2 linked regions of the Struthio camelus genome follow. The protein of the gene in region 2 interacts with the protein of the main gene of each other region in a pairwise test. Links are inferred from orthologs where the notes say so. Each region holds a gene or a part of one and is shown on either strand. Other genes may lie near its edges.

What was found.
Region 1: the proteins of KCTD6 (region 2) and GRB7 interact in binary tests that used the Homo sapiens proteins (3 or more experiments, as listed by UniProt). The two-hybrid records come from large-scale screens. The link is inferred for Struthio camelus from reciprocal best matches to the Homo sapiens genes KCTD6 and GRB7.

What each region holds. Positions count from the first base shown.
Region 1 is NC_090966.1:6,643,758-6,655,065, reverse strand, and holds the start of GRB7 (growth factor receptor-bound protein 7), read right to left. Parts: upstream 5,807-11,308; 5' UTR 4,712-5,806; coding exon 4,684-4,711; intron 4,075-4,683; coding exon 3,906-4,074; intron 3,770-3,905; coding exon 3,625-3,769; intron 3,150-3,624; coding exon 2,993-3,149; intron 2,887-2,992; coding exon 2,765-2,886; intron 2,487-2,764; coding exon 2,409-2,486; intron 2,336-2,408; coding exon 2,198-2,335; intron 2,099-2,197; coding exon 1,988-2,098; intron 1,766-1,987; coding exon 1,667-1,765; intron 914-1,666; coding exon 833-913; intron 725-832; coding exon 608-724; intron 520-607; coding exon 459-519; intron 297-458; coding exon 209-296; intron 1-208. Other genes in the region: MIEN1 (migration and invasion enhancer 1), read left to right, coding at 9,421-9,509, 9,973-10,070, 10,637-10,713, 10,823-10,939. UniProt on the Homo sapiens protein: Adapter protein that interacts with the cytoplasmic domain of numerous receptor kinases and modulates down-stream signaling. Promotes activation of down-stream protein kinases, including STAT3, AKT1, MAPK1 and/or MAPK3. Promotes activation of HRAS.
Region 2 is NC_090955.1:10,377,130-10,388,943, forward strand, and holds the start of KCTD6 (BTB/POZ domain-containing protein KCTD6), read left to right. Parts: upstream 1-7,046; 5' UTR 7,047-7,311; intron 7,312-7,463; exon of another isoform or gene 7,464-7,940; intron 7,941-8,850; exon of another isoform or gene 8,851-8,916; intron 8,917-9,610; 5' UTR 9,611-9,723; intron 9,724-9,732; exon of another isoform or gene 9,733-11,814. Other genes in the region: PXK (PX domain-containing protein kinase-like protein), read left to right, coding at 444-649; PDHB (pyruvate dehydrogenase E1 component subunit beta, mitochondrial), read right to left, coding at 2,777-2,922, 3,348-3,489, 3,934-4,025, 4,642-4,752, 5,676-5,961, 6,058-6,093, 6,177-6,239, 6,312-6,419 and 2 more. UniProt on the Homo sapiens protein: Probable substrate-specific adapter of a BCR (BTB-CUL3-RBX1) E3 ubiquitin-protein ligase complex mediating the ubiquitination and subsequent proteasomal degradation of target proteins.

The sequences.
Region 1 (11,308 bases), on a different chromosome or scaffold from region 2:
ATCCCCCATGGGTCCCATATCCCCCTGTGATCTGCCCATGGGTCCCCTATCCCCCTGTGATCTGCCCATGGGTCCCCTATCCCCAAGGGGTCCCCTATCCCCCTGTGAGACCCTGGGTCCCATATCCCTCCCAGGGCTCCCACATCCTCTGGCAAGCCCCAGGGTCTCGTATCCCCCCCAGGGGTCCCGCATCCCCCCGGGTTTGTACCCATCCACCAGGCCCTGCTGGCCGATGAGGCGCTGGGTGTCCTCGCGGGAGATGCGCCCGTGGAACCAGGGCTGGGTGCGGTGGATGGCTGCGGGGAGACGGGCTTTACGCACGGGGGCCTTGGGGCAGCCCGGCACCCCGGTGTGGGCACCCGCAGCCGCTGGGGGTGCCGGACCCCCCCTGGGCGGGGATGCGGGACTCCTGCAGCCCGGCGGGGTGGGATGGGACCCCAGGGCCGGGCGCTGCTCACCGACGCTGAGCGGCGAGGTCTGGCAGGCCGCCGGCAGGCTGAACCGGTGCGTCGTCTTCTTCTGGCAGTGCAAAGCCAGGAGCGGGTGTTAGCGGGGGGCTGGGGCCCCAGGGCGACCCCTCCCATATCCCCCGTCCCCCTGGACTCACCCGCCAGGCCTGCGCCTCCTCCAGGGCCGCCGTCAGCACCTCGCTGGGGTTCTCGATCACCCGGCCCGTGCACCCCGAGAAGTCCATGGCCACCAGCGCGTTGTCCGACACGCTCCGCTGCGGGGGGCGGCGAGAGCTGGGGGGAGCCGGGCCGGGCCGGCAGCACCCCGGGGGTCGGGAGCCCCAACGCGGGGCGGCCGGGGGGCCGAGGGGCCGGGCACTCACCAGGGGCGTGGGGCCGATGCAGGGGGGCTGGCTGAGCCGGGCCTGCGCCTGCTGGTAGTTGCGGTAGAGCTGCATGCCGTACTGCGGGGAGAGCACTGTGAGCCGGGCCGGCCCCGCAGGGGTGCCTGCCCGGCACGGGGACGGGGACATCCGTCCAGCATCCCTCGGGAATAGGGATGGAGACATCCATCCGGCATCCCTTGGGGATGGGGACCTTCATCTGGCTTGGGGATGTGAGCATCCAACCAGCATCCCTCCAAAACAGGGATGGGGACAGCCATGCAGCATCCCTGGGGGACAGGGATGGGGACATCTGTCCAGCATCCCTCCAAAACAGGGATGGGGACAGCCATGCAGCATCCCTTGTGGGGGACAGGGATGGGGACATCTGTCCAGCATCCCTGCAAAGCAGGGATGGGAATATCCATGCAGCATCCCTTGTGGGGGACAGGGATGGGGACGTCTATCCAGCATCTCTTGGGAACAGGGATGGGGACATCTGTCCAGCATCCCTTAGGAATAGGGATGGGAATATCCATGCAGCATCCCTTGGGGACAGGGAAGGGGACATCTGTCCAGCATCCCTTGGGGACAGGGATAGGGACCTCCATCCAGCATCCCTTAGGGACGAGGATGGGGACCTCCATCCAGCATCCCTTAGGGACGAGGATGGGGACCTCCGTCCAGCATCCCTTAAGGACAGGGATGGGGACAGCCGTCCAGCATCCACCCTGACATCCATCCGGCATCCCTTGAGGACAGGGACCTTCATCCGGCACAGGGCCGGGGGGCGAGCAGCCACCCCGCACGCCTCCGCCATGGGGCCGGGCTCACCTTGAAGAGGCGGAAAGCCGCCATCCAGCACGTCCGGCTCTGCTCATCCTCGCTGCACAGGAGCTTCAGGCCCTTCGTGCCGCTCCGCACCTTGTAGGGCTGCCAGGAGAGGCCAGCGCTGTCACGGGGCAGCCCCAGCAGGGTCCTCAGCCCCCCGCGTGGGGGGACCTGGTGCTGAGACCCCCTAGAGGAGCTGGGTCAAAACCCAGGAGTCCTGGTGCCTAGTCCCAGCCCCCAGACTCGGAAAGGGGACCCAGGCATCTGGGTGCTCCCTGCTCTATCCGGCGTGCCCCCGCCGGGTGGGTAGAGGGGGCCCCCCACCTTGATGCAGAAGCCGAACTCGGTGGGCGTCCCGTAGTGCTTCTTGCCCTGCGTCACGTAGTAGACGTTGGACTCGGTGAGGTCGGCGAAATACTGCAGGTGCCGGGGGTCCTGGGGGGCCGGGGAGGGGGCGTCAGGCGGGTGCCGGCGAGCGGGGCGGCCCTGCGGGGTGGGTCCTGGGGCTCGCACCCGCCGTCCCCGCGGCCTCACCTTGGACGTGCCCTTGGTGGAGTAGTAGAGCCCCGAGCGGCGCAGGGAGAAGTAGAAGCGCTTCCAGACCTTGCGCCCGCCCTCGCGCAGCTGCAGGAAGCCCTGGACCTCGGGGCAGCTCCCGGAGTTGAGGAAGTTCTGGGGAGAGACGAGGGGTGACGGCGGGGTCCCCCCCGGCCCGGCGAGCCCCCGTGGCGTGGTGGCCCCCTACCTGGATGAGCTCCGAGTGCGCCATGCTCTTGTTGGCCTCCAGGCAGCTGGACACCATCACCTCCGGGAAGAGGGACTGCTGGGGGGGGACAGGGGCATCAGTGGAGACGGATGGGGCGTTTGGGGCTCCCACGGGGTGCCCGGGTCCCCATGGAGCACCCTGGGGTGCCTGGGTCCCTGTGGGGTGTTCAGGTCCCCATGGGACCTCCTGGTCTCTATGGGACGTCCCAGTCCCCATCGGGCATCCATCTCCCCACGGAGTGCCCAGGTCCCCGTGGGGTGTCTGGGTCCCTGCGGGGCATCCTGGTCCCCGTGGGGTGCCGGGTGCCGGTGGCGTTTGCCGCCGCGGCCGCTTACCCCGTTGCTCTTGAAGAGCTCGTACTTGGCGAAGTTCTTGCGGAAGACGAAGCGGCTGTCGGCGCCCAGGGGCCACGTTCCCTGCACCTCCACCACCGACTCGTGGTCCTCGAGGCACCGCTCTGCGGGGCGCGGGGCTCAGCGCCGGCTCACCGCCCGCCGTGCCCGGCGCCGTGCCCACCCCTCGGCCCCGCGGCCGCCGCGCCAGGCCGCGCCGTCGCCGCTCACCCAGGGCCAGCTGCTGGTGCAGCTCCACCAGGGCCCAGCTGTGGTCGTGCAGCGCCTGCGCCCGCTGCACCAGCATCTCGCAGAGCTGCCGCGCCGTGGTGCCCGCCGACGCCTCCAGCGAGCGGCACGCGCCGTCCTCGCTGAACACCTTCACCACCTGCGGGGACGCGCCGGGGACGTGCTCAGGGTCCCCCGGCGCCCGGGGCCCCCAGTTGCCTCCTGCCAGCCCCTCTCCCGTGGGGATGGGGCAGAGCTGGGGGTCCCTCGCTGGTCGTGGGTGGCACCTGGAGAGGTTTCACCTCCCGAGGACCCCAGCGTCCGAGTGCACCCCTCACGGCTGCACTACCGCCGTGTCCCCCACCCATGGGGTCCCCCAGGACGCCTGGGCCCCCTCCCCATTTCCCTCCCTCTCCTGGGGACGAAAATAGCGGCAAGGATGTGCCCGGCGCTAGCAGCACTGCAGGGGACCCAGTCCCTCCCCTAGCTCCCCCATGGTCCATCCCCACCAGCAAGCCCTGGCCCCCCCCACCGTGATGAGTGCATCAGGCCTCAGCCCCAGCGCCATCCTGCCCCAAGCCACAGCCAGGAAGGGACCCGGGGTAGGACAACTGCGGGGTGCCCGGGAGACTCACGTGGGAGGCGCCTTCGCGGGGGGGCCCCTGCCCCACGGCGGGGCTGCTCAGGATGGGGGAGTTGGAGGGGCTGCAGAGCTCGGGGAAGGGGTTGGGGATGCAGGGCAGCGACGAGGCGCGCGGCTCCTCCAGCGCCGGCTTCCGGCTGCGGGCGCAGAGGGGCTGAGGGCGCCGGGGCCGCGGCAGCTCCCGGCCCCCCGGCCCGCTCCTGCCTCCCTCCACCTGCACTCCAACCCCCCACTGCCCCGGGTGGACCCAGGCGTCCGGGACCCCCCACCGACCTGCCGGCGTGGATGAAGAGGGGCTGGGAGCGCTTGACGTCGGCGGCGGGCGGCCCCTCGCCCGCGTCCCGCTCGCCAGGCAGGCTGGCGGCCCCCTCCTGCTCCGCGCCGCCCGCCCCGGGGGGCTCCAGGGGGCTGCTCGGCTCAGCCCCCCCGTCCATGGCATTATCTGGGGGCAGAGAGGGGGAGGTCCTGTAGCTGAACGCCGCCCCGAGCCCCGGCCAGGCCCGGACGCCTGGGTCCTCGCACCAGCTTGGGGGCCGGAGAGCGGGCTCTGGAGTTTTGGGCTGCGGGCACGGCAGGAGCCGGCGGGGGTCCCGCCACGCCACGTGCACCCCGCCAGCCGCCGGCCCCGCCGCTGCCCGGGGCAGCCCGCCCTGGCACCCGCCTGGGCAGTGTTTTTCCCCGGCGCCCAGACAAGCGGTGAGTCAGCGTGCGGCGAGGTGACTCAGCATGGCCCCACCTGCCCCCGCGGCTCGCTCCTGCCCCGCTGCGACGGGCACCCGGCCTGCTCCCGGCCCACGTCCCCGGCCCTGGGCTGGGGGTGTCGCGGGAGGGCCGAGGCCGGGGGTGTCCGCGGGGCTGTGCCCCGGCGCTGCAGCCGGTGCCTGAGCTCCGTCCCAGCTGGAGATCTGCCTCCGCGGTGCGCCAGGGCTCAGCCTGCCGCCTCCGATGCCTCCGAGGCCTCTTCCCCGCTGTCCCTGGGGACCAGCCCCCCCCCCCCCCCCAGCAGCGAACGGGGCAGCAGAGGGGCAGGGACACAGCCCCAAAGCCTCACCCCGCACATCCCGCCAGTCTCTCCCCATTCAAGCTGAGACCCAGCCAGCTCGTGGCAGGAGTGGGCCTGGCCCCAGGGAGGCCGCTCCCTCCGTGCTGCAGGGATCCAGTCCGGCTCTTGCAGGCTGCGGGTGCCCAGGTGCCTGGGTGAAGGGGGCAGCACCTGGCTGGGTCTCCAGGAAACCCCGGCCCGGATCAGGGTGCTGGGAATGGAGCTCGGCGGGTCCCTGGGGGACCCCGGCGGGGGGTCGCGCAGCCGGACACCAGCCAGCTCTGCACTTCAGCCCGCGGGAGCCGGCCAGAGGGAGGCACCCGGCCGCCAGCTGCCTCCACAGGCCACGAGCGATGGGCAAGAGCCAGGCCTGCACCTCGCGCTGCGCCCAGGGGTGGTGGCGTCTCCGCCGGGTCTCCCGCTGTCCCTCCTGCCCCAGCCCCGATCACTTTAGGACCCAAATCAGCCTCAAACACCCACGTGCTTCCAGGAAGAGGCAGCCGGGGAGACGGGGCGCGCGTGCCCCCCTGCCAGCACAACCTCGTACGAGACGCCCGAGAATCCCTGGCCGCCCACGCGCTGCCCCACCCTGGGAGCCGCTTCCCGGTGGCGGCAGCCGACCGCGGCCCCCCAGGACGAATCCCCCAAAATCGCCACCGGGCGCCCTGACACCCCCAGCTCCGCCGCTGGGCTTTGCTGGGAGGCGGTGGTGAGCCGAGCCGAGCCGAGCTGGGCTGAGCCAAACCGGGCTGGGCTGAACCGGGCTGAACTGAGCTAAAATGAGCCCGGCCGGGCTGAGCCGAGCTGAGTTGAGCCAGGCTGAGCTAAGTCGAGCTGGGGCCAAGCAAGGATGAGCCATGCCGAGCCCGAGCGAGCCAAACCGAGCCGTGCAGGGCCGAGCTGAGCCAAACTGGGCTGAGCTGAGCTGGGCTGGGCTGAGCTGGGCTGGGCTGAGCTGAACCAGGCCAAGGAGAGACAAGTTAAGCCAGATGGAGCTGAGCCGAGCTGTGCCGGGCTGAGCTGAGCAGAGCGGAGCCGGGCTGGACCAAGCAGGCTGGGCTGCACTGCACCGGGCCGAGCCGAGCCGAGCCGAGGTGGGCCAGGCAGAGCCAGACCAAGTAGTGCCAGGTGGAGCTGAGCTGAGCCGAGCTGAGCTGAGCCGAGCTGAGCCGAGCTGGCCGAGCAGCGCCAGGCGGAGCTGAGCCGAGCCGAGCCGAGCTGAGCTGAGCTGGCCGAGCAGTGCCAGGTGGAGCTGAGCTGAGCTGAGCCGAGCTGAGCCGAGCCGAGCTGGCCGAAGCAGCGCCCAGCGGAGCTGAGCCGAGCGGAGCCGAGCTGAGCCGAGCCGAGCCGAGCCGGCCGAGCAGTGCCAGGCGGAGCTGAGCTGAGCCGAGCCGAGCCGAGCTGAGCCGAGCCGGCCAAGCAGCGCCAGGCGGAGCTGAGCCGAGCCAAGCTGAGCCGAGCTGGCCGAGCAGTGCCAGGCAGAGCTGAGCCGAGCCGAGCTGAGCCGAGCTGAGCTGGCCGAGCAGCGCCCAGCGGAGCTGAGCTGAGCCGAGCCGGCCGAGCAGCGCCAGGCGGAGCTGAGCCGAGCCGAGCCGAGCTGAACCGAGCTGAGCCGAGCTGGCCGAGCAGCGCCCAGCGGAGCTGAGCTGAGCCGAGCCGGCCGAGCAGCGCCAGGTGGAGCTGAGCCGAGCCGAGCCGAGCTGAGCCGAGCTGGCTGAGCAGCACCAGGCGGAGCTGAGCCGAGCCGAGCCGAGCTGAGCCGAGCCGAGCAGCGCCCGGCGGAGCGGCGGCGGCGGTGGCGGCGGCAGGAGGAAGCGGAGCCTCGCAGCCCAGCCCAGACACCTCCTCGCGTCCGGCCAAACCAGTTCTGGCGGCCGCTCCCAGCTCCACCTCAGCGCGCTGGCATCCGGGCCGGGGCCGGCAGCGCCGCGGGGCCGGGGGCCCGCGCCCGCCGCGGGAACGGCGCCGAGCCGGCCGGGGCCACGCTGCGCCATCCCCGGCCTCTCGCCCTTTCGGCCCCAAAGCAGGGAGACGGTTCCCGGCAGCGGGTGGGCAGGCGGCCGCGCGGCCCCTGGCTTGGCCCAGCCCGTCCGGCGCGGCCGGCCGGCACGCAGCACGCGTACCGTGCCAGAGCACGGTGACTCGCCGGCCGCCAGCAGGCTCGGACGCCCCGCGGGACCCCTCTGGCCCCGGCACGGGCACCGCCGGCCCCGCCACCCGCCCGCCGGCTTAATCATTCACCGGCGCCGGCAGCCTGCGGCCCCCGCCTCCCGCCAGCCCGCTCGGGGTCCAAGTCCACGGCCACGCCAGGGCCGATGCGGTCCGGGCTGCTGCGACGTCCCCGTCCCCATCCCGATGTGACATCCCTGTCCCCATCCCGGTGTGACGTCCCCATCCCAGTGTGCCACCCCGTCTCTGTCCCGCTGTGATGTCCCCATCCCGGTGTGACGTCCCCATCCCCATCCTGGTGTGACGCCCTGTCCGTGGCCCGTCCCAGCCGGGGTAACGGGGGTGGGGGGGGGCCGTGCAAGGGGGATGGGGGACATGGGGGCAGGGGGGACACTGCAGGGAGTGGCACAATTCCGCTGCCGACCTGCCAGCCTCTCACCGTGGCCTCAGGCCACCCTGATGCCGGCCTTGGCCCTGCAGCCCAACACCCCCAGCTGTGATGGTGGTGATGGTGGGGGGGGAAACATGGGGTGTCCTGGGGTTGGGACACACAGGGGACCAGGTCCATGGGGCTCTGGGGCAAGGGGACCAGGGCCACCAGGACTATGGGGCAGGGGTCCAGGACCACCAGGGCCATGGGGCAGGGGATCAGGGACCATCAAGGCCCCACATCGGGGGTCCAGGGCTCTGGGGGCCCCAGGGCCAGGGGGTGTCAAGGTGCAGGGGCAGGGTGGCGGCGAGGCCGAGCCGGGCAGGAGAGGAGGAGGAGGAAGAGCGGGGAGGAAGGAGGGCCGGGGAGGGGAGGCCAGCAGAGCTGGGCCCCGGCGTCCGGGGCGTCGCGAGGTGCCGGGGCCCCGCGCGGGGCCCCCCGGGCCGGCTCCTACCTGCAGGCGCCCGCCGTCCGCCGCCCGCCCGCCGCGCTGGGCATTCCTGTTTTCCCCAGCCTTTATCTACCTGCGCCAGCTCCCGCCCCCGCCTGACATCACGCCGCCCGGCCGCCGCGCCGTGGGGCGCCCGCCGTGGGGCGCCGCGCCCAGGGCCCCCGCCCGCCACCCTGGGGTGCCCCGGCCCCGCGCTCCTCGCCACCCCCCCCACCGTGATGGGGAGTTTCCCACAACGCCCCGGGGCAGGCCCCCCCCCTCCCCCAGGACCAACACGGCGAAGCCCAGGTGGGAACCCAGGTGTCCGGGCCCCCCAGGGTGCTGGGTGCAGCTCGGGGGGCCTGGGGAGAGCCTGGGGGGCTGGGGCGGGCCCCACAGTGTGGGGGGGGATGTGGAACGGGGATGTGGGGGACCTGCTAGGACATGGGGGACCCAGAAGGTCCCCTGGGGGCTGTGAGGGGGGTGTGGGGCTCCTATGGCTGCTATAGGGCTCCCAAAGGTGCTACAGGGCTCCCATGGGTGCTATAGGGCTCCTGAGGGTACTGTGGGGCTCCCGTTGGTACCATGAGGTTCCTGTGGGTGCTATGGGGATCCCGTGGGTGCTGTGGGGCTCCTGCGGGTGCTAGATGGCTCCCATGGATGCTTTGGGGCTCTCATGGGTGTCATGGGGCTCCCGTGGGTGTTATAGGGCTCCTGTGGGTGCCATGGGGCTCCCATAGGTGATATAGAGCTCCTGTGGGTACTTTGGGGCTCCCGTGGGTGCTATAGGACTCTCGTGGGTGCCATGGGACTCCCATAGGTGTTACAGGGCTCCCATGGGTGTTTTGGGACTCCCACAGGTGCTGTGGGGCTCCCATGGGTGCCATGGAGCTCCTGTAGGTGTTACAGGGCTCTCTTGGGTGCTCTAGGGCTCCTGTGGGTGCTCTGGGGCTCCTGCAGGGGTCATGGTGCTCCCACAGCTGTTACAGGGCTCCCATGAGTGCTTTGCGGCTCCTGTGGGTGTGCTGGGACTCCTGTGGGTACCATGGGGCTCCCGTGGGTGTTACAGGGCTCCCATGGGTGTCATAAGGCCCCCTTGGGTGCTCTACAGCTCCCATGGGTGCTCTGGGGCCCCCTTGGGTGCTCTAGGGCTCCCGTGGGTGCTGTGCAGCTCACGTAGGTGTTACAGGGCTCCCGTGGGTGCCGTGGGGCTCCAGGAGGTGTTACAGGGCTCCCATAGCTGCTCTGAGGCTCTGGGGCTCCTGTGGGTGCTTTGGGGCTTCCGTGGGTACTGTGAGGTTCCCGTGGGTGTTACAGGGCTCCAGTGGGTGCCGTGGGGCTTCAGTGGGTGCTCTAGGAATCCCGTGGGTGCAGTGGGCCCCCTTGGGTGCCGTGGGGCTCCCGTGGGTGCTCTAGGGTTCCAGTGGGTGCCGTGGGGCTCCAATAAGTGTTACAGGGCTCCCATGGGTGCTCTGGGACCCCCTTGGGTGCTATAGAGCTCCCGCGGGTGCTCTAGGACTCTCGTGGGTGCCGTGAGGCTCCCGCGGGGTCCCCGTCGGGCCGCAGCCGCCGCTGCGCGCTCCTCCCGCCGGCAGGGGGCGGGCGCGGCCGGCGCCGAGCGGAGCAGACGAGAGGGCGGGGCAGAGAGGCCGGAAGCGCCGCGCTCACGTGGGCGTCACCCGGAAGCGGGCGGCAGCCGGTGGCGGCCGGGGCGGCCATGAGCGGCGGGGCCGAGGCCGGGACTGAGGCGGCGGCGGCGGCGACGACCGGGGCCGGGCAGCGGGTCCGCATCGTGGTGGAGTACTGGTGAGTGCTCGGGGGCCGGCGGAGAGGCCTCTGCGGGGCGGCGGGAAGCGGGTGATTTGGGGGAGCCGGAGGGGGCTGAGGGGCCTTTCGGGGTGTGAGGGGGGGGGCTGGGGCGGTGCGGAGGAGCCGGAGCGGGGGGCTGGTAGCAGGGTTTGGGGGGGCCTTTCAGGGCTGGGGGGGTCGGAGCTGGAGGGGGGGCTGGGGGAGTGCAGGGGGGTTTGGGGGGCTGAGGGGCTTTTTAGGGGTGGGGGCCTGGGGGGGGCTCAGAGGGGTTGGAGGGGTTTGGGGAGGGGGCGCGGGGGGCCGGCAGCGCAGGGGAGGTGGATGCTGGCTTGGGGGGCTGTCAGGAGGTTGTTGGGGTTGGGGGCGACGGGGTGGGGGGTGCTGTCGGGGTGCCCCTTGCTCCCCACTCCCGCAGCCGTGCCCCTGTTCCTGACCCCGGTTCTCCCCCTGCTGCACCCAGTGAGCCCTGCGGGTTCGAGCCCACGTACCAGGAGCTGGCGAGCGCCGTGAAGGAGGAGTACCCCGACATCGAGATCGAGTCCCGGCTCGGGGGCACAGGTACGGCCCTGCGCTCGCCCTTCCGTGGGGCTGTGGCGAGCGCCACGCGTTTGTCCACCGCTGCTCTTACAGTAGTTTTGGCCCTGTCACAGTCTGCAGTCTCGTAGCCCCATCCCTCGGTAACGTGTGGGGAGAGTGGAGGGGCTGAACGGGTTTAACGCTAGGGGTGAAGATGGGTCTCTGATTTTGAGCTGTGCGTCGAGGCTCCTGGGGCGGTTTGTGCATTGCTTGCACGATAGCTGCACGTCATGGGGGATGTCCCTGCCCCTCACCCCGGTCTTTGGGGACGCAGAGGCTTTCAGGAGCCTGTGGGTCTGCCCGGAGCAAGGCAGAAGCCCTCATATCTCTCTGGGGGCTGCTGCCCTGTGCTCTGCCTCCTGCTGGCCCAGTCCTGCCGTGGAGGGTATGTTCTGGCAGGTCTGGAGATAACCTGGTCCCAGCTGCGGTGTTTCTGCCTCTCAGACGCTTGTTGCAGTGACAGGAACGGTTACGGGACTGGTGTGGGGTTTAACAGCACAGTGTGGGGCAGCAGCACGGCTTACAGCTCGGCTCTGCGTGTTTTCAAGGTGCCTTTGAGATTGAAATCAATGGGCAGCTGGTCTTCTCCAAGTTGGAGAACGGAGGCTTTCCCTACGAGAAGGATGTAAGTACCGGGGCCCAGCAAGCTCCTTGCGTCAGCCGGTTTGGATGGGCCCTAGAGGGAGGCTTGTTTTTGCAGCAAGGTCTCCTGTGACCGGTTTTTCCCTTTTGAGGCTTCTCCGTGTCTCCGTTTCATCACCTGTGAGTTCTGCGGAGCATGGGGAAGCCTCACGTTCCCACCACGCTTCGATCCCACCTGCATCCCCCGGCAGCAGCCGCTCCGGGTGTGAGCCTGAGCTGCCGCTCACGCAGGGGAAGGTTCCTGGGGCTCCTCTCTTGTCCCTTCAGCCCGGTGGTTGGCGCTGGGGCCGACGTGGCGTCTGCTGCGCTTTGGGCATTTGAGTGCTGCAGGCCGCTGCGGCCCCCTGCGAAGCGCCTGTCTGCGACGCAAGCCGGGCTGCTGCTCGAGGCTGGCTGGTGAGCGCGACCCCTTCCCCTCTGTCTCCTCAGCTGATCGAAGCGATTCGCAGAGCTAGGAATGGGGAACCACTCGAGAAAATCACCAACAGCCGCCCGCCATGCGTCATCCTGTAGCCCTGGCTGTGTCCCCCTGCTGAGCTGGGATCTCCCAGCACCCACTGGCTGGCCCGTTTCCCCCT
Region 2 (11,814 bases):
GATGTGTTCCTTTGTAAGAACGGTAAAGTTTACCATGGAAATGCAAACAGGTAAAAAGATTTGCTTCCAGTCTTTGTTACTGGTCGAAACCCAAAGATCAAACTGCTTCACTGGGGACAAGCAAGAGAAAGTGAAGAAAGGAAATCCTCTTAAGTGATCTTCATTTCCCTCAGTGCAAGATCACGTTTTTGTCATGTTTTGCATCCCCGAGTACTGCGGCACTTCAGGCTTTGTCTCAGAGGTGTCTCAGATGGCATGACTTGTCTGCAGATAGAGGGATTTGATCTCTTTAGCATTTTTCATCTGTTCTGTTCTCCACACCCTGCTTGCATTCAAGGAGTGACGTGACTTGTGCAGAGCTGGCCTAGTCTAGCTGAGCAGCTGCAGTCCTCTGCAGCAGGGCTTCCCTGGCCGAATCAACCTACATCTTCTCTCCTCAACAGGAGCATCGTCGATACCCCCAGCACCCCCACCGCCACCCCTGCCACCAGCAGCTCCTCCTCTGAACACGGAGGTGCCAATGCAGTCAAGCCCTCAGCCCGTTGTCAGTGCAAGCCGAGGAGCCTTGCTCAGCTCAATTCAAAACTTTCAGAAAGGAACTTTGAAGAAAACAGAGACATGCGACTACAGCGCTCCCCGGATCAGCTGAGGCTACTGGTTGCCCCACGATTGGATTCACCCTCCCCCTCCTGTGCTGTCCAGGAATGAGTTCTTCCTAGCCAGCAACGGATCCACCAGCAGATAGCAGCTAATCATGCTGTAGCTCTGTTTACCCCTATTTCAGCTTTCCTTGAGTAGCAGCACTAACCCATCTGATTTGCATTGCCATGCTGTGATATTAAAGAACTCCCCCCCCCCATTCTTATTAAAGAACTCTGTTTTCTAGCTACAGTTTCAGGGGTAAAGCAACTTCTATATAGCGGAATAAAAATCTGAAAATAGGACTGACCATGATCATGGTGAATTAATGCATTTTTTTCTAGTTCTCTTCCACCCCTTTTCTCAAAATACATAAATCTTAGTTTTAGTCAGCTCTAAGTTTTTCAACACCTCCATTCAGTTAACACATCTAATTCTTGCTGAATCAGCAAGGTTTTGTTTTAGATGATCAAAAAAAGCACTTAGTCTAAAGTGTACTGCACAGGTGAGGGAACTGGAGAATTAAATCTTATTTCCACCGTATTTGCTGGTGGAGTAAAAATGCTGTCTCTCATTACATTTGTTTAAATGGATATCCTACCTGTAACTCTAAGGGAAAGTTTTTAAATGAGGAAACAGTTGCAATGGGAGTTAATGGGGTATTGGGATATTGTTCATGGTTTAATTAAATACAAGGTTAATTCAAGTGAATTTTACAGTTTAAACTTTATTGAAAGATCCTTTTTGATTTGCTCAAAACCTTAAATAAATTGCACTTTAAAGGATTATAGATAATCCATTTTTAAATTCAAGTACATCAGTGTTTGTTACTATGCAGAGAATGTCTGTACAAAGTTTCATGTAACCTGTGATATTCAGTCATTTTTATTAAAATGTTAATGGAATTCCTCCAGCAGTGTGTTGGTGGGTGCATTCAGCTAGGATTTCACCTGCAAGCCAGACTTCCCAAGAATCTAATAACACTTCTGTCTACTAACGGGAAAATACAATGAAAGTTTAGTTCTGACAAGTTCCTGGCCTGCAACTGAAACAGGACCTGAGCTCTTCTGTTTACTTGCAAAGGTAAGCACTCCTCCCCAACAGCTAACTGTAAAAGGCAGTTTATCCTTGGTATAGAGAAGCCACACTGCACAGCTCCTGTAGGCAGCCTTCACTCTGTACCAGGCCAGTAACAGAAGCTACTTCACAAAAACCTAACAGAGCTCTTGTCAGGACCGGCCCCTTAACTAAACACAGGTGTGAGCTCATCTGCCTGAAGGCTACGGCAACTGTTTCCCACCTCTTGCATGAGGATTTATGTCTCCTACAAACTGTAGACAAAGGATGTACTACCCCTTCAGACCCAGGCATACTGGACCTCAGTAAAAAGACTTACTCTTTATTGTAAGAACTATAATTGAGAGTGCTGTTAGCCCCTGTGGCAAGTTTAACAATGCATACATCTTGGCAATTCAAAACACTTTTACTGCTTTAGGTGGTAACTAGTAAAGAAAAATTAGGTATTACTTTCCACCACAGACTGATCAGGATCTTTATTTAAGCCCTTGTGCAGAAGCTTTACTGCATGAGACAATAGTTCTCTTCAAGCTGAACATGTTGGCCATCTCTAACACATACCAGACTTCTAAAACCACTTTGTACAGATGCGCTTAAGTTGTCACATTGAAAAACAAGACTTAACTCACTCTGGTTTAATCATTCACCTTTAATAAGCCTTGCTAACACAGGCTTCAGGCCCCCCACTGCTCACTCCAGTTCTTCACCTGACCACCACCATAGTCAGTTGAACACCTCTAGTCTGATAATTATGAGACAAGCAGAAATAGAGGATTTATTCCTCACTCTGAATTTAGAATAGGATTTCTCCATATACAGTAACACCAATCCACTTGTACTGTTGAAGTACAAGCTGCCTTACAAATAAGCATTACCTCATCACTGCTTGGAAGTGTGGCTTAGAAGGTAACCCCATTACACAAAGCCATATAAATATTCTGGGAGGTCATATTTTTTCCACTGTACAAAAGTTGATGTAGCTATACAACAGTTATGCATTCAGCTTGCCATACAACATTAATGCTTTTTAAAGCAGAACTTTAAAATATGTATTTACAACTTAGATATTTAATGTTTTCTTTACTGCAAATATTATATCCTTCACTTGAGGTATGCAGTTATCCTCTAAAATTTTTGCATAAGGCATAGGAACATCTGCACCTGTAACACGGACAGCTGGAGCATCCAAGTAGTTAAAGGCAGGTCCTGAAACAGAAGACAGCTGTCAGTTTGCCACTTACTCTGGTTTTCTCTCAGTTCAATTTCTGAGTCCTAAACAATTTCCTTCTTATAGTTTTAAGATTTCAGAGCTAGCAGTTCCTGCTCGCTTGTCTTCATGCGCTAAGATTTAGATGCAAAGTTACTATCCCGCTTACTACACAGTCAGATTCTTAGGATAAGAATTATTCACAGCTGCTCTTCCATAGGCAAGATCCAGAGCAGCAGCAGACCAGCTTCTACCCTGTGACCATCTCTACAATGAGATGGCTAAGCTCCAGCTCCTCAGATAAAAGACCCCAACTTGACCTTATCTCATTATCTGCTCTTGGCTTTATCAAGCAGTTTATGAAAAAGTCATCAGGATTTAGACTTACAAATTAGATCAACAGGGATGTTGCAAAATTAAGTACCTTCCATGATCCTGGCACAGATTTCAGCTCCTACTCCAAACTGCGGCCAACCTCCTTCTACAGTTACAAGATGGTTTGTCTTTACAACGCTGGCTTCTATTGCTTCAATATCCATTGGTCGAATGCTACGCAGATTTATAACCTTAAAAGAAAGGGACTGAATCAGTTTTGCTATGATCTAAGCCTGTCAGTTACTACTGTTGGGTACCACGTCCTTTGTCACGTTCAGCTATTCTGACTTTGAGGATCAGACTTAAAAGTCAACAAAATTACAAACTTTTTATCCCAGCAGACTTTTTATGGAACTGTTTGTGATGGTTCCTGGAAAATCCCAGATAGATGAGTCTTGCTATATCTAGATCCAGCCATGCTGATTTATATAGTGTACTGTTCAGTGGACCTAGCTGTATGATAATAAGCAGAAGAGCTTTAAACATTAATTTTGTGATTAAAAGGTCAAATGCAGAAACACGAAACATGCTTGGTTCACTGATTATGAAGGCATTTACCAATGGGCCTGAACAAGACACGCTGCTTTTTTTCCAGTCCATGGAAAGGGGAAAGCAACAAAAAAATCCCTACACACCTCGCACTCTACACCTTCTTTGGCGAGTACAGCAGCGGCTTCCAAACAGTGTCCAACAGGTCTCGAGTGTGACACTAAAGTAACGTGAGTTCCTAGAACAGAAACGAGAGAGAGAGACTTAAACTTTTCCTCTAGCCCCCGTGCTCTTTTTAAGGTAATGTTAGGATTCTCTGGTAAATTTAAGTATTTAGCACTTAAAATAAATATAAGGAATTCTACAGCCACAGCGTGAAAAATGGCAGTGGAAGGACTATGTCAAGACACAAACTACACCCCTGAATTCAGGGACCTGAAGAGAGATCGAATATACTTCTTAGATTATTCCTTTTAAACCTTCAAGTAATTCAGTGTTAAATTATGAACAAGCTGAAAACCTACAGTGCTTTCCCTTGCATTTTTAGAAAAAAAACCCCAACAACTACTTTCTCAAGTGGAGAAAGAAGTTTTCCAGGCATTACCTAATCCATCCTTATAGAGAAAGGAAGTCTTTTGAAAGCAGGACAGCGGGACAAAGAATATCAAGTGATCTTACTTTATAAAGAGAACAGAAAAATACAGAGCCCATAGGATAAAATAACATTTAGCATTTGAAGTGTATTCCTGTTCCCTGTGAAAGTAGTGTTTTAAGTCGGTAAAAGTTTAAAAAAAAAAAAAATCTCCCCAAGCAGTTCAGTTAGTAAGAATATATTAACTGTGTTCTCAGCTTACCTTGCCTTTCTATTTTGGCTTTTCCAATTGGAACAACAAAATCCTTTGACTGTGCCTCTTCTGACAATTCAAAGGGAACACCATACAGCAGTTCATTCTCCAGCATCACAACTAGAACAAAACTTACTTGGATTATTTTGTAGTTCTACAGCACAGGCCTATACTGAGGATAATAGCACTAGAGCAGACTACCTCAACTAGGAGCTGAATATGTTTGTAGGGGGAGAAAAAAATCCCAGTTTTGACTTCACTACTGAATTATTTTAAATTTTAAATTAATTGATTAGAATTGGTCTTAAGCAGGACTGAGCATTTAGCTTGTGGTGCATAATGGTAATAGGTCTTAATACAAAATTTAAGGTCCTTAGAATTATTCTAAAAAAATCATGAGGATTGTGAATTAGGCAAACTAGGTTGATAAAGCTAACTGACGTACAAAGCCTCTGTTTTTTAAAAAAGATAATATTGTAAAGTTTATAGAACTGAATGTACAACTCCAACTAGATCAAATGAAAATGGGAGGGGTCATGGTCTAGAGACTGTTTTTGCAGAATTGCTAGTTTTAGAAAGGTCTTAGATTTTGCATGCATGCTTACGAGGAAGGAAAACTGAGGCTGCCCTGCTCTCAGAAAATGGCATGATATTCATAACATCTGAATTTCAAGATCTGTAAAAATGAGTTACGTACTCAGACACTATATATGCAGAACTCCTCCCTGACTGATTTTTATCCTCTTAAATTCCTTTATGACAGATTCCTAAATGTTTCTTCCCAGATTGGTACCGAATTAGGATTAAAGCACTAGCACAAAATTACAGTCTACTACTAGCAAGCCACATGATTCAGGAAAGTGTCAAGTATCAGAATCGATTCCTCTGTGCCTTTGCAAGTTACCTTAGAGTAAAGCAGTCCTAAGTGTTTTAGGGTTTTAAACTTTTTTTCTTTTTTTTTAAATGGGATGTGAGGGGAAACATGAAGAGACATTTTTTAAAAAAACTAATGCTAGCTGTTGCCATGATCTGAGTGTATTCACCTGGATTATCATCCCGGATTGATGCTTTAAGCAGACCTTTCGCATCTTCTGAGCTCCATGGACTAACAACTTTCAGTCCTGGACAGTGCCCATACCAAGCAGCAAAGCACTGCGAGTGCTGAGCAGCGACCCCAGCTGATGCCCCGTTGGGGCCCCTGAAGACGATGGGCACAGAGATCGATCCTGCAGACATGTAACAGGTCTTGGCAGCAGAGTTTATGACCTGATCAATTGCTTGCATGGAGAAGTTGAAAGTCATGAATTCACACACTGGCCTCAACCCAGCCTATTAAAGTCAGGATATATATTAGTGCCTTTTTACATAAAAAGAGCTTGTTTTAAAGAGTTTAATTCAGGAGTAAAGAAACTTAAATGTACAAACCATAGCAGCACCAACAGCAATTCCTGTGAAGCCCATCTTAAACAGAAAGAAACCAAGGGTAAGCCTTTGGGAGCAGCAGGCAGAAGGGCGAGCAGGGTAAGTGACAGGCGAAGCCGTACCTCCGATATCGGCGTGTCGATTATCCTCTTGTCCCCATACTTCTTCCAGAGGCCTCGGGAGATCTGCAGAGAGAGAGGAGAGAAGTCAGGGCCCGCAGGAGGGCCTCTCCCCGCCTCTTAGCTGCGGCCGCTCACCTTGTAAGCGCCATCGTACTGCGCCACCTCCTCGCCGAGCAGGAACACCCGCTCGTCCCGCTCCAGCTCCTCGTCCAGCGCCTGGTTCAGCGCGTCTCGCACCGTCACCTGCGGCACACGCACCCTAGCACAGCGGGGGCACCGCCCGCACCCCGGGGGGGGGTCACCCCTTCCTCCCCCTCCTCCTCCTCCTCCTCCTCCTCCCCGCCTCCCGCCGCCCCCCTCCCCGTACCTGCATGGCGGCCGGCGCCGAGAGCCGGATCCCCCTGCGCAGCTGCAGCAGCCGCCCGGCGGCGGGACCCTGCGGAGACAAGGGGGACGGTGAGAGCTGAGCGGCGGGCAAGGCGCGGCGGGGGCTGGGCCCGGCCCTACCTGCCGCCCGCCCGGCACCAGCCGCCGCAGCGCCCCCGCCGCCGCCGCCGCCATCTTGCCCGTGTCCTCTAGCGCCGAGGGGAGGGGGGGGGCAGGCCCGCGCGCCGCCAGTGACGTCGAGGCCCCGCCCCCTCGGCGCCCCGGCAACCGCCGCGCCCGCCCCGCGCTCTCGCGAGAACAGGGGCGCACCGCCCCTTCCGCTCCCCCGCGGCCGCCCGGCCCGTTGGGGCCAACCGCCGGCCCACCCTGCGTTTACGGGGCGGCGCAAGGGTCAAACTTGTGCGCGGGGGGGGGGGGCCGCCGGGACGGCTCCTGGCCCCACCGCCCCCTCCCTCGACCCGCCCCCTCCCTCCGCCCTGCCCCGAGCCGAAGCGCTCTGAGCGCTTTTACCCTCTCGCCCCACCGCCCCGCGGCCCCCGCTTGTGCCCAAGCTGCTTTCGCCCGCTTGCCCCAGCCGGGGGGCGGGGCCGCGAGAGGCGAGGGCGGGGCTTGCGGCGAGCCCCGCCCCTCCGCCCCGCCTCGCCCGCGGCGGCGGCTCAACTCCGGGCTCAACTCAGTCGTCCTCTCCCTGCCGCTGCCGCTGCCGCCGCCGCCGCCGGGCTCCGCCTCAGCGCTGGCAGCTGCGCCCGTGAGTGCCGCGCCGGCCGCCTGGGTCCTCGGGGGGGGGGGGCAGGACGCCTGGGCCCCGGGGCGGTGGGGCAGGCGCTGAGCGGGCTGTGGGCCCGGCTGGGGCAGGGGCCCGCCGTGCCGTCGGCCGGGGGGGGGGCCGGGGGCCGGGCCGCGGCCCGGCGGGAAGGAGGAAAGGCTGGGGCGGAAGGCGAGGAGCGCGGGTCTGTGTCTGGCGGCTGCTGTGCTGAATCACCCTCGTGTCGGCGGCAGTTTCGCTGCCGCAGTCTCGCCGTGATGGAAGGTGGCACTTCCCAGGCTCCTCCTGTGCAGGCCCGGGCCCCTCTCAGGGAGGGAGGGAGGGAGGTGCCACCATCCTGCCCTGGCTGCTGGGGCCCCGCGCTTGGTCCGGCCCTGGTGCGCAGGGGAGCTCTGCCTCTCCGACAGCTGCCCTGCCCCGGGGCCGTTTGGAGCCGCGGCCCCCCGAGCAAGCACCTGCGAGTGGATGTTCCACGGAAGCAGAAGCACACGGCTGCACCCCGCCCCGTTGTGGCGGGCGGCGAGGAGCGCGCTGGCGCGGCGGGTTTCAGCAGCGCGGGGCCGGCAGGGACGGGCCCGATACGGGTCTCTTCTCTTGGCCCTCGTCGTGAGGTGAGGGCGAAGCGGTGGCGTGGCGTGGGCTTTTCAAGGAACGAGCGGTTACGAGGAAAGTTTGGGAGCTGGACCTGAAACAGGATGTTGTGGAGCTCCTCAGCGGAGGGAAGAAAACTTTGGGAGCTTGGAGTTTGTAGTGAAGCAATTAGACATAAGGCAATGAAATGCCGAGTGGCTAGCGCGAGCGTTTTATTCTTCTGCCTGAGTTGAGGTGTAAGTATACTAAAAAGAAACTAAGGAAAAACAAGATTACATTAGTTTATAATGAACTGCCTTAGTCATTATAAGTTTGATGTGTTTAGAAGGCGATGGGTGCCTCCTTGAGTGAAGCAAATCTGTTGAATTACCAGAGCAGTTGGTAACTTGTTTTAAGACAACATGTCCTCCTCGCTCTTTCTCGGCTAAGGCAGTGTGGTGCTGTATCATCATGGTCTCGCTCTATAGACTGTGGTCTCACTGCACGGTTTTGTGGAGTAGAGTCATTGCTTGTTCTAGTTTAGTTTTTGTCAGTTCACGTGTCTCTGTGATAAGAGATTTACCGTAAAAACTCTCCTGTCAAACTCTGTAACTGGATCAGGAGCAGGGAGATTGTTCACAGATGTAACGTAACTGTGCTCAGAGCTGGAGTTCTGGTTCTCATCCTTGGAGATCTAAATGTCAGAGACAAGGATCTCACTGAGTGGGTGTGAGTAGCTTCAAAGACTGAGTATGTTTATCTGTACAAGTACAGAGCTAGCTTTGCTCCTTTTAATTTTTTAAGTTGCTGTTTGTGCAATTCCTGTCAACTTTGTCTCGACCTAGAAATCGAAGATGCCTACTGAGGTTAAACAGTTTGTCCTACAACACTGGTACCAAATCGTCCATTGAAGACTAGAACTAAAAGCGAGTCTTTTAATTCCTTTGTTAGAAAACCTGGATGAAAAACATTTAGAGCAGACCAGGTGGTGCCTGCCTCTTGACTTCTAAGCATTAGGTATATTTCTACTCCTCCTCCATGTAACTGCATGTGATAAAAATGCTGTCATTTTCTCCAGGAGCAGTGTGATAACCTATTCCCTTGACCCAATGCAGTATACACAGTGCTAGCAGCAAAAAGGCTTGGCGATGCCGCTGGCTTCCCCTGGGTCTGAGTTGGACCCACGTGTGTGTTTTCACAGATGCAGACCTTCAGCTGACTCTCACTTGCTTTTTCTGAATCTCAGCCTGCAAAATGGTTGCATGCTAGTAGCTGTCTTCATGGGAGAAGCCTTAATCAAGTTAATGGGACTACTGTTGCAGTAATGTTGCTAGTAAATAGCCTTGTAATCCTCTGAGTCATAAAATATTAAATAAGACTGAGAGTTCTATAAATGCAGGTCCCCCATTCAGTATATTGAGCATGACACGATGACTTGAGGGCTTTTCATCAAAGGCGCTTGCCTCTCGTTGTTACTTTCTAGTTTTGGATGCGCTCAATGCTGCGATAAAATGAGATGACCGTATTAACACTGTCTTATCTTCTCCTCACCCCCTAAAAGAGCTTAAGGAAAGTAGGACTGTGGTTTGACTCAGTCAGTGCACTTCTGCTCTCACCAAAGAGCAATATTCTGTTTGGCTTATATGGTGTCAGCAGTTTACCTGGCTAAATTTCATCTCAAATGAATATTTCTTATGATTATTAAACACAGGCTGTGTTGGGATACGCGTGCGTCTCGTCTCTTCTTTGCTGTCTGGACGCAGGCTGGCCTCCTTAGATCATCTGTTTGCGTTGTGCGTCTCGCTGCGATGCTAGCTTTGCCAGGTACGTCTGTGCGTGTCTAGTGATTCTGGACTCTTATACAAAGATCAATGAGGCTTCTAGATGCCACTTATTTATTGAAGGCTGGGGTTGTTTCAGCTAATTGTTCTCATAAATTATTTGCTCCAGTGTTATGCAGTGATGCTGTGATCAAACATTAGCTCCTGTCTTCATACTGACAGGCAGATGTAATTTGTTTCTTTTCCTGAATGATAACTGATAAAGAACGTCTTGACTGATCTGTACTGGGGACTCAGATGCTGGCCAAAATAGCACAGTATTCATCCAATCATTTAAATAACTCTGATGGATATCCGTCTTTCAAATACTCTGAATGTAATTTCTAGTTAACTTAATATTAAGACTGCAGCTCTATTCGCTTATGATAATCAGTGGAATTTCTGGATGGCTGCATTGTTTTACCTTCAAGCGAATGTTTTACATGAACACCAGAAACCTACTCCAGTCTCTCTCATGGTTTTACTGCTTCTGCATGCTATGTCGGGGTTGTACTTGATCAAAATAACAACTGCAAGTGCACTTTTCCCTGGAAATTAAAAAGAATTTAAAAGGTCTGAGCTAATGATAAAAGCTAATGATTTGTACTTGTATAACAATGCAAAATAAAGAAAAACCTGAATAAATTCACTTCTTGGTATGTCAGCAGTAATAAAAAAAAAAATTATAGAAGTTGGCAAAAGAGCTAGAATTCCAGGTTTACCTACTGTCAGGGAGGCATCATTTAATATACGTTCTCGAGGCATGCTCCATCTCTTAATTTGTAAAAATAGGATGGTGGTATGACTAGTTCTGTATCTTAATTCCTTAGTCTTCTGTTGTCTGACCTCACAATTTCATATGCTGGTTTTATTTTTTCTTCTCTTGATGTGTCTGAAATGCAGTTGAGGCTGTGTACCTGCTGCTGGCCCCCAAAGGCCTGACCTTTTGAAAGCCGTTCTGCTTAAACTCAGAGTTTGGGCATGGTGGCAGAGTCCAGAGAGGTGGGATATGTCGCATTGTACTGCGGTGAATGATACTGACCTTGTTTGCCAGGAATGAGAAGGGCAAATAATTTTTTGTTCAAAATTAGCTGTGAACCTTTAATTATTTGAGAAGGTAGTACTCCATCTTGGCTTCACCTTCATACGTCTCTTTGCTGGGTGACTGCAGGTTGAAGTATGTTAGTAAAGAGGTTGGTCTCTACTTGCAAGCAGAAGTCTTGGTAAATGTGTAGTCTTTAAGATATAAAAAATAAAATCCAAAAAGCTGCACCCCGCTCAAAACACTGTCCTAAATTTTCAGTGATTCTAGCAGAGATGCAGACTCCTGTATAGGGAATAAAGGCTAACTGGCAACTGGCTTCTCTCTCTGTGCATCACTCAACACACGGTCCACAGGCCCCCTTGGGAAAGCCTGTGCTGGTGTCTGGAGTTGCTCGTTCCCCCACGCCGAGTTGCATAAACCAGGGTGTGGAATTCCCCTTGCTGCCCTCGGTGGAGGGAGTCCCCCTGATATGTCAGTCAGTGGTTCAGCATCTTCTAGGAAGTTTCGGCATGAACCACTTCTCGATTTGCTTTTGTTGGAGCGTTGTTGAAAGTGTGCTTGATATCCTTTTGCTTGTCCCTAAAGAGATTTCTTTCGAGAGTTTGTATGTGCCTGTGAAATACATTTGTGCTCCTTCTCTGTAGATTAATGTTCTTCCTATCAACTGCAGTTCTCCGCTATTAAATTATTAACTCCACAGTGAGATTCTTTTTTCATATTGTTCATGACTTTCATGCTTGATTTATTCTTCTGCATAGTCTGAAACTGGACTATGGGAATTCTGACTAGTATTACTGGATCACAAGTATGACCTCAATGCAGGCTAAATAAAGTTTTTAATTGGGAGAAGGACATCTGTCTTTCCAAGCGAGAGGTAGTCCATTTGTGAGCATAAATTATCCTTAAAGACACGTTGCTTGTTATTTAACAAAACTGGGCTGGATGGAACAGCCGGTGAAGTGATTACAGTGTGCTCTGGAGAAAGTCCTGTGGGTAGCGTGAAGGGAGATGCAGGGAAATGCTTGTTTGTAGATTCTTCCGCTAATGCGG